3 linked regions of the Arabidopsis thaliana genome follow. The protein of the gene in region 1 interacts with the protein of each later gene in a pairwise test. Each region holds a gene or a part of one and is shown on either strand. Other genes may lie near its edges. The genes, in order: CYCA3;1, CDKD1;3 and CDKB1;2.

Region 1 (5,562 bases):
AGAATTGTTAACTCCATACCCAAAAATATTAGTGTAGTAATCTGAAACATTGTTTCTTGAAGCACAAGGAACTCCATTCAAGAAACTATTGTTAAGCATCCCATTACCACCACCAATAGTATCATACCTATAAGATTGATTAACATAATCGTTCTGATATGACAATCTCTGTTGATTCTGGTTAAACCTTTGCAAGTCTTTTAATTCATAGTGGTGATAAGAACCACTTGGAGGAAATAAGTACCCATCACCATAACTACCACCTCCACCGTTAAACACCTGATTGTATTGATGGGCGGGGAGTATCGGATTACCGTTCTGATGAACATTTGAATCTGCAAAAGAAAGTCCACGAAAAGAGGATTCTAGGGTTTGCAAATCAAAAGCACCACTCGAGAAACCATCATTTATATGGATGTGGTTCTCCGGTTGATGAAACTTAGACGACTGCATCTGCGGCGGTTGTGACTGAGACGATGACGCCGCTGTTGTCATATTCTCCTCCGCCGCCGTGGACCAGATGTTGCGTTCGCCGTTAGTGTTCACATAAAACTTGTTATCCATGGTTAAAGAAAGAAGAAGAAGCTGAAAAATCTAATCACTAAATCTCTTTATGTAAAAAAGATATAAACCTTTTTTTTTTTGTTCAAGAAAATTTAATACGAAAAGAAAAGAAAACAAAAACAAAGGAAGGAAAGGTGATTTATTTATAGAGGAAATCATGATTAAGGTAAATAAGTGAGATTTAATTGCACCAAAAAAAAGAAAAGAAACAAAAAAAGAGATTGCACATTAAATAGTCAAAATCTTTCCCATGCACAATAAATAGTCAAAAATATTTCAATAGTCAAAGTTTTGATGTATTTGAGTCGCGTGGAAACTTCGCATTTATCACCTATTAAATTAATATCTATTCTTTTATTATATTTATCGATAGAAATCTTTGGCTTAAATTTTTAGTTTTAGTAATCAAGTATTTTTATTATATTTTTACTTAAATGTTTTTTACTTATAAAGATGTCATATTTGAAAGAAAAATAATAAACACTAAACCGGCCGATTTAGCCGATTAACACCGATTTTTAACGCCTAAACCAGTAAGCTGATATGATTCACGGATTTCATGAGTGCATAGGCAGATGCCGGTTACTATCTATGCCTAATAGTGAACAGGTGCAAAATATTGGTTTGACAAGAAGCGACTTCTCAAACCAATCTTCTTTTTCTATATACAACCTAGTGGAACCTAATAGTGAACAGCTGCAAAATATTGGTTTGAGAAGTTTTTCTTTGACTGATGGCGAGTTCTAGTGTGGATGTCTGGATGACGATAATGTAAAACAAAGATGGAGCGTTGTTTTTATCAAAACGAAGAAAACTGAAGATAAGTGGAAAGCTTTGGATGTCAAAGAATGGAATATGTAGTGCACAAGATCTCAATCTTTTACGTATAGTTGCATCGGTTGGCTTAGGCATCAACCCATTAGATAGATTTATGGAAATGCATGGTTCAACATTGGTGTTGAACGCTTGAATTATAACCCAAACAAAAAAAATCATTAAGTAACCAAAATCTTTAAACATATATTAAGATCCTTTATCACACTAGTAGTCCTAAGACATGTACAAGCCAAAACACCAAGGAAAGAAACCAACGAAACCGCTACCTGGTTTTATACTATCTATGCCGATTACCAAAAGTTGTCTCTAAATGTTGACATCTTCAAAAACCGTAAGAGGCAGCTCTGGTGATACAGGCATTGTCGCTACACACTTGAACTGTATTGAACCAAATAGAAAAAGAAACATGTGAATCTCAAGAACATTGTTCTTCAAATTATCATTTAATAGTATTTAGGGTTACCTTATGCTGCTTGTATTTCTCTCTTATAGCTTCTAAAGCTCCACATTTTCTACTCAGATACAAGTCATGTATCATAGCCACACATTCTTTCAAATCACCCGCTTTGTATCTTGTGTATTCTTCCAACATCACATTCTGTTACATTCAACACCAGAGCTTTAGCTTCTTATATAAAGTAGTGAACACAGAGAATTAGAACAAGAACCGCTTTGCAAAATGCTTTACCCAGGGATGTTGTTTTGGACGGATGATGAACCTAGCGAGAAACACCGCTGAAGCAGCCACAGTAGACGGAAGAAACTTCACAGATTGATAGTCTAACATGCTCAACTCCGAAAGATAGCTACAAAGAAACTCCATCTGTAAATGTGACATCTGAAACAAATAAGAGAAATTCTTAGCAAATTTGATACTCTCTATAAATTGCAAATACCACAATTCAAAAAGAGCTTACTTCGAAATCTTCTTGTGCAACCCTTGTAAACCGTCTGCACAAAGCAAAACGCAATGAGACAATAAACTACACAAAAACATTACTCAATGAGCACCAAAAGAATCAGAATCAAACCTTAGAAACGTGTTGCTTGTAGGGTTTCCTAATTCAAATTGCAACGCAAGAAGTATATCAGCTTCCATCTTAACAATCTCTTGTTTCGTGTAAGTATTGTCTGTGATATAACAAAAGTCATCCACATTTGGAGGAGTAATCTCTTCATACTTTCTACAAATTTTTCAAAACCAAAATCCAAATAAACAAACCCACACAAAAAAAGAGAGATTCAAACAAACAAAACAAGAAAAAGCTTACGAAGCAATAAGCATTGAAGTAACTCCCAAAAGCTGAAGCCTTTGTTTATTAACAGTCTTGAGAGACAAGAATCTATCAATGTAAGAAACAGCGAGGTAAAGAGTGTCTGAGAGAAGTTTGTATTCTTCAGCAACTTCTACTAACCAATCAACCAAAACTCCTCTCATATTCGAAGTTACATCTTTCTGAATCTTCTCTATATAATCAACCAAAGGTCTTGACTTTACCTGAATTGTGTTAATCGAGAAACTAACTCAGATTGTGAAATCTAGAAATCTAGAGATGGGTTTTGTTTCTTTACCTCTAATTGACGAAGATACTCGAAGATTGATGTAACATAAGGACCACACATTTGTGGATCATCAGATCTTGTGTCAATGTCTGAATTTAAGGTTTCGATTGTCGGAATCGAAACTGATTTCTTCTTCTGTTTTGTAGTGGCTTTTCGAGATTTCTTGATGTTGGACAAGTTTGGAAGCTCTCCGAGTACGACTCTCTTCTTGTTGATTCGTTCTTTGTCTATTGCCGCTTCCATGGAAGCTTTTCTTTTTGTTGCTGCTCTTGTCATTCTCACGCAGTTCTCTTTTTCGTCGGCCATGGTTGATTGGATTCAAGAGAGAGGGATTGAGATCGAGATTAGGTGGATGAGAATGGAAGTGAGAAGGGTGAGAAAAAGAGAAGAAGCGAAGAGACATTTTTGTGATTTTTTGGAATAAAGTTTGGATTTTGGCGGTTTTTCCGAATTCTTTACAGGTTTTGATTTTTTGAAAAATGAAGCTGAATTGTGTTGGCGCGATGTTTTGATTAGAGTTTTGAGCTTCGAAATTTTCACCGGGAAATGTTAAATTTGGTATCACAGGAAGACCTAATTCGTAAACGAGGAAGATGATGATGCAAATTGTCAATGGGCTTGTTTATTGGCCCAATATGTCTTGCCCAATAGTAATGTTTTTAGGAAATATTCCCAAAAAAACCCGAACTATTTAAAATCTGCCAGAAAACTACCTGAACTTTTTTCGTTGTCAAAAAAATATACAAACTAATTTGGATTGAAAATAAAAAACACGATCTATTATTTTTTTCCGATTACCTCCCTTCGCCGTAACGACCGTTAACGGCGTTAACCAAATCGGTTAACATTTTCAATTTTATTTATAGAAAATTTCTGAAAAAACCACGACTTATTTAATATTTGCCAAAATAATACCCGAACTTTTTTTCGCTGCCAGAAATATATACAAACTAGTTTAAAGTTGAAATAAAGAGCATGATGTAGTTTTGTGTTCCAATTTCACTCACTTTATCGTAATGGTTACAAAAGGTTAACTAAATAAAAATATATTTTTTCATTTTCTTTACACGTGGTAAATAAGAGTGGCGATAAAGCCGATTTTATCCCCTTATAAACCCATAATCTATGTTGAACCTCTTTGAATCCTAGTGTTAATATAACACATCTATCCATTTCAGATATTAACCATAATAAACTGAAGAAATTAATAAGAAGAACTTTCGTTAACAAAGGGAGTATTTTTTTTTTTAATTTATTGTTGCTTACATCGAATCTAGATATACGATAGATATTTTAAAAAAATTTAGTAATTTAGGATAAAATATACCCATCAATAACATGATTTTGGTTGATATTACTCAAGATCTTAAGGTTTTAGAGGATTGCTTTAATAGTCAAGCTTTTTTAAGAATTTTTGTAAATAAAATTAACAATATTTGACAATTTGGTTAGGGAAATCGAAAAAATAAATATAGATCGTGTATTATATTTCCAATTTAAGTTAGTTTGTGTATTTTTATGACAACAAAAAAGTTCATGTATTTTTTTGGCAAATATTAAATAAGTTAGGTTTTTTTCCAGAAATTTTCTGTAAATAAAACTAACAGTGTTTGACGATTTGGTTAACGTCGTTAACGGTCCGTTACGGTGAAGAGAGGTAATTGGAAAAAAAAAATAGATCGTGTATTTTATTTTCACTCAAAATTAGTTTGTGTATTTTTCTGACAACGAAAAAAGTTCAGGTAGTTTTCTGGCAGATTTTAAATAGTTCGGTTTTTTTTTGGGAATTTTCCCAATGTTTTTAACACAACAATTTGTTTTGTCTTGCCCAATGAGATTGAACAAGACCCAAAAAAGAAAATTTTCAATTCTAAGCAACTGTTAAAAATATTTATGGCCTCATTGCCTGGTGGATAAAGCCGTTCATAGTGGTCTGATTATTGCGGAGAGAGTTTGTCCATCGCAGGGATATCATACATGTACAACCATTCATAGAAAATCTGAGTGTTGCAGGGAGAACTGTACCGTGGAATTGTTGCAGATTGTATGTAGTTGAATACCACCATCATATGACGTAATAAGAAAACAAAAACAAAAACATCTATAGCACTAAAAATAAAAAATGTTACAACAGAAACAAAGATTTTTATGGAATAAATTTAAGAATTCTTAAATTTGTATTCTGAAAAGAATCTATTTAATAGAAAATTGGTTGAGAAAATTTAGCTAAATTTGTTTTTTTTCCCTATCCTTATAAAACTAAATCTTTTCAAAAGTTTGGTAAACTAGATTTCATTTTTATAGAGATAATGTATTTTTATTGACCAATTCATATTAAATTCTACTAGTTTATTAATGTCATAAAGTTCGAAGCTATTAGAGAATAACGTAAATCTTCTAGCATATACTATCATAAATTCAGCGATCTTGAGTACACATAACACCGTGATTCTTCCATGTTCATCCCATGTTCTGGTTTATGTTATCATAAATTCAGTGATCTTGAGTACATAACACCGTGATTCTTCCATGTTTTGGCTTATATTATCATAAATTTAGTGATTTTGAAGACACATAACACCGTGATTCTTCCATGTT
Region 2 (6,321 bases), on another chromosome or scaffold:
TGTATGCGAAACCGATGACTTAACCAACTAAACCTATTTAGAACCAGAATAAACCTAATTTAAACCAAAATTATGACCCGTAACCCGACTCTCGAACCTAAACAAAAAAATCCCCAAATTCTCTCCCGACGAACCCTAATTTAACCTGACGAATCCTCAAATCCAGTTTTTCCAAACCCTAAAACTTTGATCGATCGATGTCGGGATGTCGTTAATCCATCACGACCCCGATCTTGATGGTGATGTCGATCCCGAAGCTGAAGACAGAGATAACTTTCACCTGGAAGAAATGCTAAACGAGTGGACCGACGAACCACCAATTCGCCACGACGTGTACCCGGAGAGCGATGGTGAAGGAGCCGACGACAGTTCCGACATACATGTGAGGCGTGGTGATGGGTTTTTGTACCAAAAGCAGAGTTTCTTCAGTGGAGTTGCGTTCAAAGAGGCGGTTATAGATTATGCTCTGAGAACTGGACATAATCCAACATCTCTTTGGCACTCCAACCACTCTTCCTCGACCACGAGGTCCTGTAGATCCCGACGAACTTGATGACAGATTGCTCATCTTTCAACTGGAAATAAAAAAATTGGGAATCGATTTAGGGTTCTTGAGTTTTGAGTTTGGGGTTTTAGATTTTGGATTTGGGATTCGACAATGGATCGGGTTTTAAAAACGAATCCGGGTTTTTTTGGTTTGGTTTTGACCGATAATATGGTTTCGTCTCGGGTTTACGTATCAAACCGAAGTAACCACGATTCGGGGACATTAAGCTCTTGAACTTTTAATTGGTGGGGAAATAGACGTTTAACTTTCATTTCATGGGTAAATAGCAAGAGGTCAAAGATCGGGCTTCATCTAGCCAGATGCGATAGTTCCCATGGGGAAATAGACCGTTTTTCCGTAATGTTCTGATGTTAAACAGAATGGTTTTATAACATAACAGTTCATGTATGTATGATTTGGTTCTTACCGGTTAAGTAGATAATGTATGGTGAAAATGGAAAACGACGTCTCTCACAACAAAAAACAACTAAAACCCAAAATCTCGACCCAAAACCGAATTTAACTTCAAATTAAGTAAATATGGCCCGAAGTTATAAGCCCGAATAACAGAGGCCCATTATAAAACCTGGAGCACAAGTTTCTCGTCTATAAGTGCTAGGCTACGCATAGGGCTCCGTGGATTTGTTCTAAGAGGATATTCTCCGTTGATTTGCAATTGTCAATTTCCAAGCTTCAGAACTAGAGTTCGTTCGTTCACGACGTCACTGTGGCTCTCGCGGCGTGGCTGTTACTTTCCGGTGGGTGAGGTACGGTACTTGTTATCTCTCTCCGAAACCCTAAGTAGTCCTTGGATATGTATCTTTGCCTTTTCTTATATTTACGTTTAGGAAGATAATTCGTTTTCTTGGTAGTTTACCCCTTGTATAAATATAGTCATATAGAGCTCAGGGTCAAGTGATAATCAACACATTCAATCGATCTCTTTGCATCTCTTGTCATCAAGGGTTAACTTTATCTATTATTTTGTGTTTCTCTTTGTATAGAAAAGAGATGTCGAGTGATTTGCAATCGAACTCCGGCAGATGTACCTCCGAGGACTAGATATTATGCGGATAGCTCAGCCCGTTTGGTTTTCATGGAGGGGCCTGAGATGGAGAGAAAGATGATGACAAGCTATGCGGGAAACCCAAAGTACTCCTTCTTCTGGAGCTCAGATCGTTATCATGCTTATTACCAGAAAAAGCTTGCTGGATACCGTGCGCAGAATTACATGAGGGACCTGAGATCAAACTTAGTGATTATGGGATACCTGATGTTCCATTGAGGGTGAGGGTAAGGGAACCACCGCTTCAGATTCCAAAACCTCCTCCGGGCTTTGCTAGTGACCAGAAGCCGACAATGAAGTATCCGCCTCCACCACCTCGCAAGTATGCAGCTATACTCCCTGAATGGATTACTGGCAAAGAGCTTGAAACTATCAAGGAAGGGGATATGGACGAGAAACAGCAACGATAGCTCTTAAGAAATCAGCTAAACTCTAGCAAAAACACGTGGATTGCTAATATGCTTTATAGGTTATAGGTTAAATTTGTTGAGGTATAAAACAGTCATTTCAAAAAATCAAAAATTCACGATTAATTTAGCTATTGTTTAAAAGTTTAGATATTAAATAATATTTTTCTCTTTTATAAATCGAAAATGTTTGGATATTAAATGTATAAAAAACTAGAAAAGTAAATAATTGGGCGTTTCTCTTTATTTGTTGTTTCCCTCGATTAGCCGATTGCGTCTGCAAACGCGCCAACGGCTACTTTTTCTCCGGAGCCGGAGCTCTCAAAGCTGAAACCCTAAATTTTCCCGGTATCTTCCTCATCGTCGATTTTACTCAATTTAGAATAAAAATCGGAAAGCAATCGAATTCTAGCGACGTGAATTAAGAAGAAAGAGAGAGGCGCGATTATTGAGTGGGTTCTGAAAAACCCGAAAATGCCGGAGCAGCCAAAGAAAGTTGCTGATAGGTATCTCAAGCAAGAGGTTCTTGGGCAAGGTACCTATGGAGTCGTCTTCAAAGCCACTGATACTAAGGTCATATCTTTGCTGATTTTTGTTTGCAAAATTAGGGTTTAGGATCTGTCGGCAATTCCTAATTTCTCCTTCTTTTTTGGTTCCGGATTTTGATTGAAGTTTTTGTTGGATCAAGGGGAAGTAATTGTGGGGTGTAATTTTGCAGACGGAACAAACTGTAGCAATTAAGAAGATAAGGCTTGGTAAACAAAGAGAAGGTGTAAATATTACAGCTCTCAGAGAAATCAAAATGCTCAAAGAGCTAAAGCATCCTCATATTATTCTGCTCATTGATGCATTTCCTCACAAGGAAAACTTGCATCTTGTCTTTGAGTTCATGGAGACTGACCTCGAAGCAGTTATTCGCGATTCTAACATTTTCCTCTCACCCGCCGACATTAAATCCTACCTCCTAATGACATTTAAAGGACTTGCTTATTGCCACGATAAATGGGTTTTGCACAGGTACATTTGTTTATCCTTAACAACTTGCTTATTGTCTCTGTAATGTTGCTTGGTTTGGGCACTGATTATGTGTGGCTTGAGTTCAGGGATATGAAGCCAAATAACTTGTTAATAGGAGTTGATGGACAGCTTAAGCTTGCAGATTTTGGCTTAGCACGTATATTTGGTAGTCCAAATCGTAAGTTTACCCACCAGGTATGCCTTTTGCCGCATTGCCATTTTATCTATTGCTGTAATATAACCAAATTGATCGACTAACTCATATGAAATATTGATAAGAAAGTTTTAAGTAGTTCTTATCAGTAGTTATGTCTAGGGATGAGGAAGATTAGATGTCTCATGTCTTTTCATTTCTCTAGTTGTATACTAAATGTAACATGTATTAAACAGTCTCAACTCATATTAAATGATGGTGCAGTAGCTATCTCATATCTGTACTAAAAGTTTTGCTGTTAACCGGATTTTTGACCTGAGCTATTTCTGCCTTCTTTGTTTCCCTTTGAACACCCAAAATTACAATAGAATCCATGTGAGCTCTGTTTCCAAATGCGCAATGCAACTTATTTTCTCTTGTTTCTAGTTGTTATATTATCTTCATATCTTGATATATCTGATAATGCACAGGTGTTTGCTAGATGGTACAGAGCACCAGAACTTTTGTTTGGTGCAAAACAATATGGTGCTGCAGTTGATGTTTGGGCCGTTGCCTGCATATTCGCCGAACTTCTACTACGCAGACCATTTCTTCAGGTTAAATAATCTTACTCAAATCTAATGGCTACCATTAAAACTTTAGTCCAATTGTCATCTCTTTGGATGTTATACTCACTCTCAGACTACATAATTACATATTCATTATCAATTTTCTCGGTATGTTTACTTATTCTATTTTTGCCGTTGCAGGGAAACAGTGATATTGATCAATTAAGCAAAATATTTGCTGCTTTTGGGACACCAAAAGCAGATCAGTGGCCGGATTTAACAAAGCTTCCAGATTATGTAGAGTATCAATTTGTCCCTGCACCGTCTCTACGTTCTTTATTCCCAGCAGTTAGTGATGATGCTCTCGACTTGTTGTCCAAAATGTTTACCTATGACCCAAAGGCTAGAATTTCCATTAAGCAGGCTCTAGAACACAGGTGCCTAATGTTCACCATCTGTTTATAGGCAAAGTATATCTAGCGTTCTGCTCTCACACCTTTGTTTTCATTATTTCAGGTACTTCACTTCTGCACCTGCTCCTACTGACCCGGCTAAGCTCCCAAAGCCCGTTCCTAAGCAGGATGGTAAATCATCTTACGGTAAACATGAGGCCATTACAGTGCAATCACCACCACGTAAGCTTAGAAGAGTGATGCCTGAGCGTGGGAGGGTTGATAGTTTGAAGTCTCATGTTGACAAGGATCAACAAGCACCCATGTCATTAGATTTTACCATCCTCGCTGAGCGACCTCCAAACAGGCCAACAATCACCAGGTAAAAAACAAGACAGTTTCTCCCTCACTGCATATTAATCTCATTTGTCATTACAGCCTCAAGATTGATTGTGTTTTAATGACTTCTTCTTGTTCAATTTGTAGTGCTGATAGATCTCATCTGAAGAGGAAACTCGATCTTGAGTTCCAGTAAGACTGTTGGTTATGCACTCTTCTCTTAGCTTCTCCATTTTCATGTTCTGGTGAAACCACACCATTGTTAAGTTGTCAATTTACTGCTGCTTGTGTAATCTGGCGATTTATTCTTTTCCATATTTAGCTTGATTACAAACCAGAGGGACCTTAGATTCACAATGATAATATTTTGTTGTCCCATAGGCTTTTTATTCATTGTAAACTGATCATACTGTACTATGAAGTCTATGATTATAAAGCTTTCTACTTTTTGCTTCTAGAATTCTTTGCGGTACAAAGAGAGCTCTGTTTAATCTTCAAACTCATTTTTCTTTCGATGGTGGCCCCAGGAATTTAATTGATCCATTGACAGCTCAAAAAGATTTTACCAAATACCAACAACAGGTTTATAAAACACATACGAGCCAGAAAAACAGATGCCCACATGTCAGTCAGGCTCTTCTTTAGTCATACCCGCTTGAAGACTATCACGATTGCTGTGCAGTTGTCTTTGCAACGACGTTCTTTCACAGCTTCCTTCACAAGACGGCGACTTACCGTGCTTACATGCAAGCCCTCCTACAAAATCATAGTTCTTAGCCTCTTAGTTTCTCACATTTAATTTCCCTTGACACTCTTTACTTGTGTGCACAAGGTTCTAACAAGCCATTTTGCTCACATGGCTACCGAAAAACATCTGTTTTTTGAGCTTCTTTCTATGTAGTTAAAGAGAGTGTGAAATGGAGGACAAAGTGATTTTGACAACTGTAGGTATTTACCTTCAAAAGTTTCTGGACAAATCCAACAGCATCACTTGGTCCAAACACCTGAAAACGGTTGCATTGTGTATGAGCAGCAAACTTTGATATATAAAGACAAAATGAAATGTTCTTATAGAGCACTGCAAAACCACAAACGAAGAGCTTACTTACTTCCCACAATCCATCGCAACCAAGAATCATGAAGTTTTCTCTCTCAGTTAATTCAAAAGCATGAATGTCTGGAGTTGCACTGACACCAAACTAGATTCAATAACTTGCGTTAGATGCGAATAAACCATAAGATTTTAGGATAAGTTACAGATTCTAGGCATTTGAAGTTGCAAAATGATATGGAGCAAGGTTCAAGAACATGTCGATAGAATATTGCACGCGAGAGCTAAAATGTCACAGATAATGGGCTCAATATAAAGTGGGAAGCCACCGGATCATTACCTTCTTAAAATGACGATCACCAAAAGCCCTAGAAACCTCAAGACGCCCTTGTAACCGTCCATTTGAGCTTATAACACCACCTGACTGTGAAACTCATAGCAAGTTATCAACAGAGCATGGTGTGCTCACATTTACTTGGAAGTCTCTGTCTGGCTCATCAAAAACTAACCTTTTGAATGCGAGAGCGCTCCTGTGGATAAATTGCTTTGTGCTCTCTCGTCAAAACAATTGCTTTGAGTGGATTACCTGCTTCTGTATGATTCCCCAATTCGTTGGTAGTAGAGGATCGTGCCAAAACAGCCTTAGCATCACCGATATTGGCAACAAAAACCTATAAAGCATGAGAGTTTATGGGTGTGAATACTGGAGAAAAGGTCGAGTTATTTTATGAAATTTATCTAGAGAGTAAAAATATTGAATTCCAGAGACCCCATCACAGTCATACCTTTTGATCAAGTAT
Region 3 (5,277 bases), on another chromosome or scaffold:
TCTGCAATTTTTTGTTAGGTGGTGATGATTTTGAGTGCTCTTATTATGCTCATGGTCTTCCAAGTCCCCCAAATGTAACGCACACAATTAAACCATTTTACGTGTACAGAATTTTATAAGACAAAGCAATTTATGAATATTTTGGAAGAGAAAAAATATTAATAAAAAGGAATTTAATGAAAAAAACTCTCAACTTTGTCCTGATCCATTTTTAAACCCTAAACTATGTTTTTAGTAAAACAAATCCTAAACTAAAACCTGTTAATAAACTTAACTTCACAGTAATTAAATATTAATGAGATATTAATTTTTTAAAAAGAAAACAATGAGACATTTGTATTTAGCGCAAAAACCACGTGATGTTCTTTAAAACTGTTTTGAATTTATTACAAAAAAACATTCTAAATAATTTTGAATTGCTTAATTAGTTTGGATTTTAAAAGCTGAAAGAAAGACACAATAACTTAAAATAATCCAAAGAGTCATGCTTAAATAAATCCAACCAACATAACTATCGAAGCTGTTGCAACACAACAATATTTGTCACAAAAAAAAAACAATCGTTTCAGATGGACAAGATATTCTAAAGTAAAGACTTGTCAAGCATTAACTTTGAAGAGAAGATTGTATTGGCTGAGTGATAGGGTTCTCTTCATCCATTGTTTTCTGTTTTTTCCTTGGTCGTCCTTGAGGTTTCTTGGGTGGTTTTGGCATTGCTTTACACTTGCATGAACGTTTGTTGTGTCCGACTTGTTGACAATTGCTGCAAGTCTAAATATGCAAAGATTAAATTTAATAATTTGAAAATGAAGATCTTGTGAAACATAATTCATTGTTCTCTATTTTACCATTTAAACTTTTTCACGTGTATAAAGAACTTTTTGAGGTGGACGATCTTCAGTTGGATCACGGATTCTGTCATTGTTCTTTGGTCGATTTTTGGAAATTAATATCCCATTAATATTTAATTACTATGGGGTTAAGTTTATTAACAGGTTTTAGTTCAGAGTTTGTTTTACTAAAAACATAGTTCAGAATTTAAAAATAGATCTGACCAAAGCTGACGGTTTTTTTCATTAAATTCCCTTAATAAAATGGTTGCAAATAAGTTTATTGACCCTAGTAAATCAGTAACGGTTTTTCATAATCAACTTTAAAGTCTTTAAGCCATTTTCTTTCGTTTAGTCAATGCCCTATCATTGAATATTATCTTTGTTTTCTTTTTCATTATTGTAATTTTCTTTTATGTATAGTAGTCCAATAATTTTTTAATATTCAGCCATTGTTTAGTTTCCACATGAAACACACAATTTGTTTATAATCTTGTTTTTCTTTCCCCTTTACATAGAACTTCTTATGATGATTTTTATGAGTTTGTGAAATTGCATACCTTGCACATTCGTAGACCTAGTCAGAATTTTTGTTGTTGTTGTAGTATCTTTATTGTAAAAAGAAATGGTTTTCTTAATGTAACTATCGATCAAAACTGATGCAATTACCATACATGAAATTGGAATGAGTGTAAGAAGAATATAAAGTTGAAATAAATCAAAAATGTGAAACTGAATCAATATCATATGAAGTTGAATCATGTATACTAGAAGCCTAGAACACAAGAAACAACCCACCATTAATGAATAATGAGTAAGAGTTCACAGTCCCAAAATAATTGAAGTTACAAATTCGAACACAAAAAATCAAACCTAAACATTTTTCCAATTGGTTGAGTAAGTGAAAAAAAACTACGTAGTAAGAAATTCTTTTTTTGAGTTTGTGCCAAACATTGAACATTAACGTATAAGGAGAAAACTAATGGGATACAAGCTAAAACAGTTATAGTCTTATTAATTAGTATGTTAAATACTAGATTAAAGTTAAAATGAAGTTGGAAAAGCTCGAAGTTTCAACCAATTAATGCGAAATGATCGACTCTTCAAGTAATATTAATAGTTTAGCAAAATAAATGACTGAAAAATCTTTATTATGGGTTGTGGCTGCAAGCATGAGCTTAGCTTTTTGTACTCAGGGCCGGCTTTACATCAAAGATCATGCATAGATTCATTCAACTAAACATTCACCATGGATAATGAATTGAAATCTATAAACATAATCAAGCAAATATCTTATACTATACTTATCTGTTTAAAATGACTTTGAGTCTTTGACTAATAAAATATTATTGGTACGTGTGAAGCGTGCGAGGGATTCAAATGTTAAACGTTATAGCAAAGAGGCGCCTTTATTTACCAGATCTAAAATCGAAAAGGGGCTTTAGGGTTTATAAGACCCAAACAAAAAACATTCATCAGTCTCAATTCAAAATCCTCCATCAATGGAGAAATACGAGAAGCTCGAAAAGGTCGGTGAAGGAACCTATGGAAAAGTCTACAAAGCAATGGAGAAAACCACCGGAAAACTCGTCGCTCTGAAGAAAACTAGGCTCGAAATGGACGAAGAAGGTATACCACCAACGGCTCTCCGTGAGATCTCTCTTCTCCAAATGCTTTCTCAATCAATCTACATCGTTCGTCTCCTCTGCGTCGAACATGTTATTCAATCGAAAGATTCGACTGTTTCTCACTCTCCCAAATCCAATCTCTATCTCGTTTTTGAGTATCTCGACACTGATCTCAAGAAATTTATAGATTCTCATAGAAAGGGCTCGAATCCTAGACCGCTTGAGGCTTCTCTTGTGCAGAGGTTTATGTTTCAGCTTTTTAAAGGTGTGGCTCATTGTCATAGCCATGGTGTGCTTCACCGTGATCTTAAACCGCAGAATCTTCTATTGGATAAGGATAAAGGGATTCTTAAGATTGCTGATTTGGGTCTTAGTCGTGCTTTTACTGTGCCTCTTAAGGCTTATACACATGAGATTGTTACTCTTTGGTATAGAGCTCCTGAAGTTTTGCTTGGTTCTACTCATTACTCTACTGCTGTTGATATTTGGTCTGTTGGATGCATCTTTGGTTAGTAATCAGCTACTATGTCTCTTTTAATGGTCTTTTGTTCTACTGTTTGGATTACTGATGTTTCCCCATTTTTTTGTAGCCGAGATGATTAGGAGGCAAGCTCTTTTCCCTGGTGATTCTGAGTTTCAGCAACTACTTCATATTTTCAGGTATTTGCTTCTTGTTTTTGATGCCAATGTGTATGTATACAGGAACCAGTTTAGGACTTTAGCCCATTAGGTTCAGTACTCGTGAACTCATTTGGATTATGGGGACTGTCTAGTATCAATATATCTGAAGTATGGTTTTGTTTTGGGTTCTGGAGATTGTTAGGAACACCAACTGAGCAGCAATGGCCGGGTGTAATGGCATTGCGTGACTGGCATGTCTATCCAAAGTGGGAGCCGCAAGACTTATCACGTGCTGTTCCATCTCTATCTCCTGAAGGAATTGATCTTCTCACGGTAATGCTCTTTTCTAAAATATGACCATTGTTGGAGAAGTGGCCTAAGATTCTCTTGCATACTTGATCTCTTTAGTAGATTCTTTCTGTTGGGGTTCGTTCCTAGTTGATGATAATTTGTTTTGAACCTTTGAACAATTGCAGCAAATGTTGAAGTACAATCCAGCAGAAAGAATTTCAGCAAAAGCAGCTCTCGATCATCCCTACTTTGACAGCCTTGACAAATCTCAGTTCTGACCTCTGCCAAATTACTGATCAGGCTTCTCTTTGGAGTTCTGAAGCTGATGGCTCAAGTTTATTGTCTTGGTGTCTTATGCTGTGTGCTTTAGAAAGATTTGTACTTAAACTAAACAATCTGAAAACCTTGTTTGTTCAGCGAGAGTGAGAGAATCTTCTTTAAGTGGCCAATTTTATTTGTTCATGTAAACAAGTCTATCAAAGCAAAAATGGTTAACCCTATTAAGCAGACAAATCATTAGTGTACATAAATGAGAGACGAATTTGAAATATTTGCTGTTTCATTACAACGACAATTGCTACTCAAACACACAAGTAAATTACATATCTCATGATATTACACAATTGAGAAACAGAACAAGATACAGAGATCTCTTGTATTAATGTAAAAAAAACAAAACAAATGATGAGTAGCTTCAATTAGACCAGACATGGAGGAGGCCGTGTCTGTTTCCTGTGTATATTTCATTCCGTTCTTCGTCGTAGAAGAGAGCGGTTATGTCTTCCAAAGCCTCAGCAACCGCACTTCTCCTTCGAGAGGAATTCCCCAAATCACTACTGCTGCAGTCCTCTTCCTTAGGAGGACCATTATTTGCTTTTATCTTAGCTAAGCATTTACCAGTCAAGATATTGCTTATGTTAATCGACCCCGCTACATCAACAACCAAAATCACGACAATGTCTCAATAGCAAAACAAAATCAGACCATGAGGTTTCTTGATTTGAAGAGTGGATGATGAGTCTACTTACCATTTCCTTCTATCCACTGATCTTCAGTATCTGCCTTGCAATATGAGATGATCAGATCTTGATCGCTTGTTATGTAGATATTGTTTGTGTTACAGTCTGGATGCCAAAGAAGATGATCCTCAAACGAGGTCACAAGCTCTCCGCGGAAATTCCACACAGAAACATTTCGGTTCCTGAATGTTAGAAACAACTGATTCTCATACAAAAATATGAATGCTGATGGTGTCATGAAGTCAGTTCTGCTAACTTCTATCAGCTCAGCATTTCGAACCTTTAAGAACATAAAACTCTATTAGAAACATAAAAACACAAATATATAAAGCGGCTTGAACCACAAAGACAAAACCACTCACGTCAAGTATTTGTAGATTCTCGTTCTCTTGCTTAACTAGAAGCTTTTCATTGAATTGTTCAATGAAATCAACTTTCTTATTTCGGTGAAGCAAATGATGGAAGGACTTCAGAAGAGTGCCATCTTCGATTGATAGAATCTTCAAAGGAACATGACTCGCAGCTCTCTTGAAAATCAACAGCATTATCCCTGGACTGGTGCAGGTAAAATACATGCACAAGTTAGAGTGACAAGTCTTCAATCCAATCAAAAACACTCCGGAGCAACTCACTTCAACATTTGCAAACAGAAAACATAGAAAGATGTAGAAAAGTCACCTGATCTTAATTTCTTGTACATTTTTGTCTGATATCGAATATAGCAAGGCATAGTTTTTCAGATCAAACACCTTGTAAACACTGCAGAGCAAGACTATGACTCAGTTGAGAAACTTCAAGTCAACACCTTTTGAGTAATAAAGACAAGAAAAGTACCTATCCTGTGCAGAATATGTCAGCACCTTCCCATTAACATCATCAAACTCAACA

Evidence for each region.
Region 2: the proteins of CYCA3;1 (region 1) and CDKD1;3 interact in a protein complementation assay, tested with the Arabidopsis thaliana proteins (one large-scale study listed by BioGRID).
Region 3: the proteins of CYCA3;1 (region 1) and CDKB1;2 interact in a protein complementation assay, tested with the Arabidopsis thaliana proteins (one large-scale study listed by BioGRID).

What each region holds. Positions count from the first base shown.
Region 1 is NC_003076.8:17,290,935-17,296,496, reverse strand, and holds CYCA3;1 (Cyclin A3;1), read right to left. Parts: upstream 3,546-5,562; 5' UTR 3,271-3,545; coding exon 2,974-3,270; intron 2,900-2,973; coding exon 2,673-2,899; intron 2,586-2,672; coding exon 2,433-2,585; intron 2,353-2,432; coding exon 2,319-2,352; intron 2,240-2,318; coding exon 2,090-2,239; intron 2,000-2,089; coding exon 1,865-1,999; intron 1,780-1,864; coding exon 1,708-1,779; 3' UTR 1,473-1,707; downstream 1-1,472. Other genes in the region: PUM13 (pumilio 13), read right to left, coding at 1-564.
Region 2 is NC_003070.9:6,205,473-6,211,793, reverse strand, and holds CDKD1;3 (cyclin-dependent kinase D1;3), read left to right. Parts: upstream 1-2,265; 5' UTR 2,266-2,494; coding exon 2,495-2,593; intron 2,594-2,738; coding exon 2,739-3,037; intron 3,038-3,123; coding exon 3,124-3,232; intron 3,233-3,332; exon of another isoform or gene 3,333-3,648; intron 3,649-3,661; coding exon 3,662-3,787; intron 3,788-3,940; coding exon 3,941-4,176; intron 4,177-4,255; coding exon 4,256-4,513; intron 4,514-4,617; coding exon 4,618-4,666; 3' UTR 4,667-4,923; downstream 4,924-6,321. Other genes in the region: AT1G18050 (SWAP/surp RNA-binding domain protein), read left to right, coding at 206-528, 1,239-1,309, 1,552-1,832; AT1G18030 (Protein phosphatase 2C family protein), read right to left, coding at 5,116-5,226, 5,427-5,474, 5,580-5,669, 5,862-5,945, 6,031-6,192, 6,307-6,321.
Region 3 is NC_003071.7:16,150,219-16,155,495, forward strand, and holds CDKB1;2 (cyclin-dependent kinase B1;2), read left to right. Parts: upstream 1-2,254; 5' UTR 2,255-2,332; coding exon 2,333-2,966; intron 2,967-3,048; coding exon 3,049-3,118; coding exon of another isoform or gene 3,119-3,188; exon of another isoform or gene 3,189-3,273; coding exon 3,274-3,412; exon of another isoform or gene 3,413-3,555; coding exon 3,556-3,648; 3' UTR 3,649-3,868; downstream 3,869-5,277. Other genes in the region: AT2G38630 (Transducin/WD40 repeat-like superfamily protein), read right to left, coding at 4,065-4,300, 4,399-4,669, 4,752-4,944, 5,068-5,148, 5,224-5,277. UniProt on the Arabidopsis thaliana protein: Together with CDKB1-1, promotes both the last division in the stomatal cell lineage as well as the number of stomata.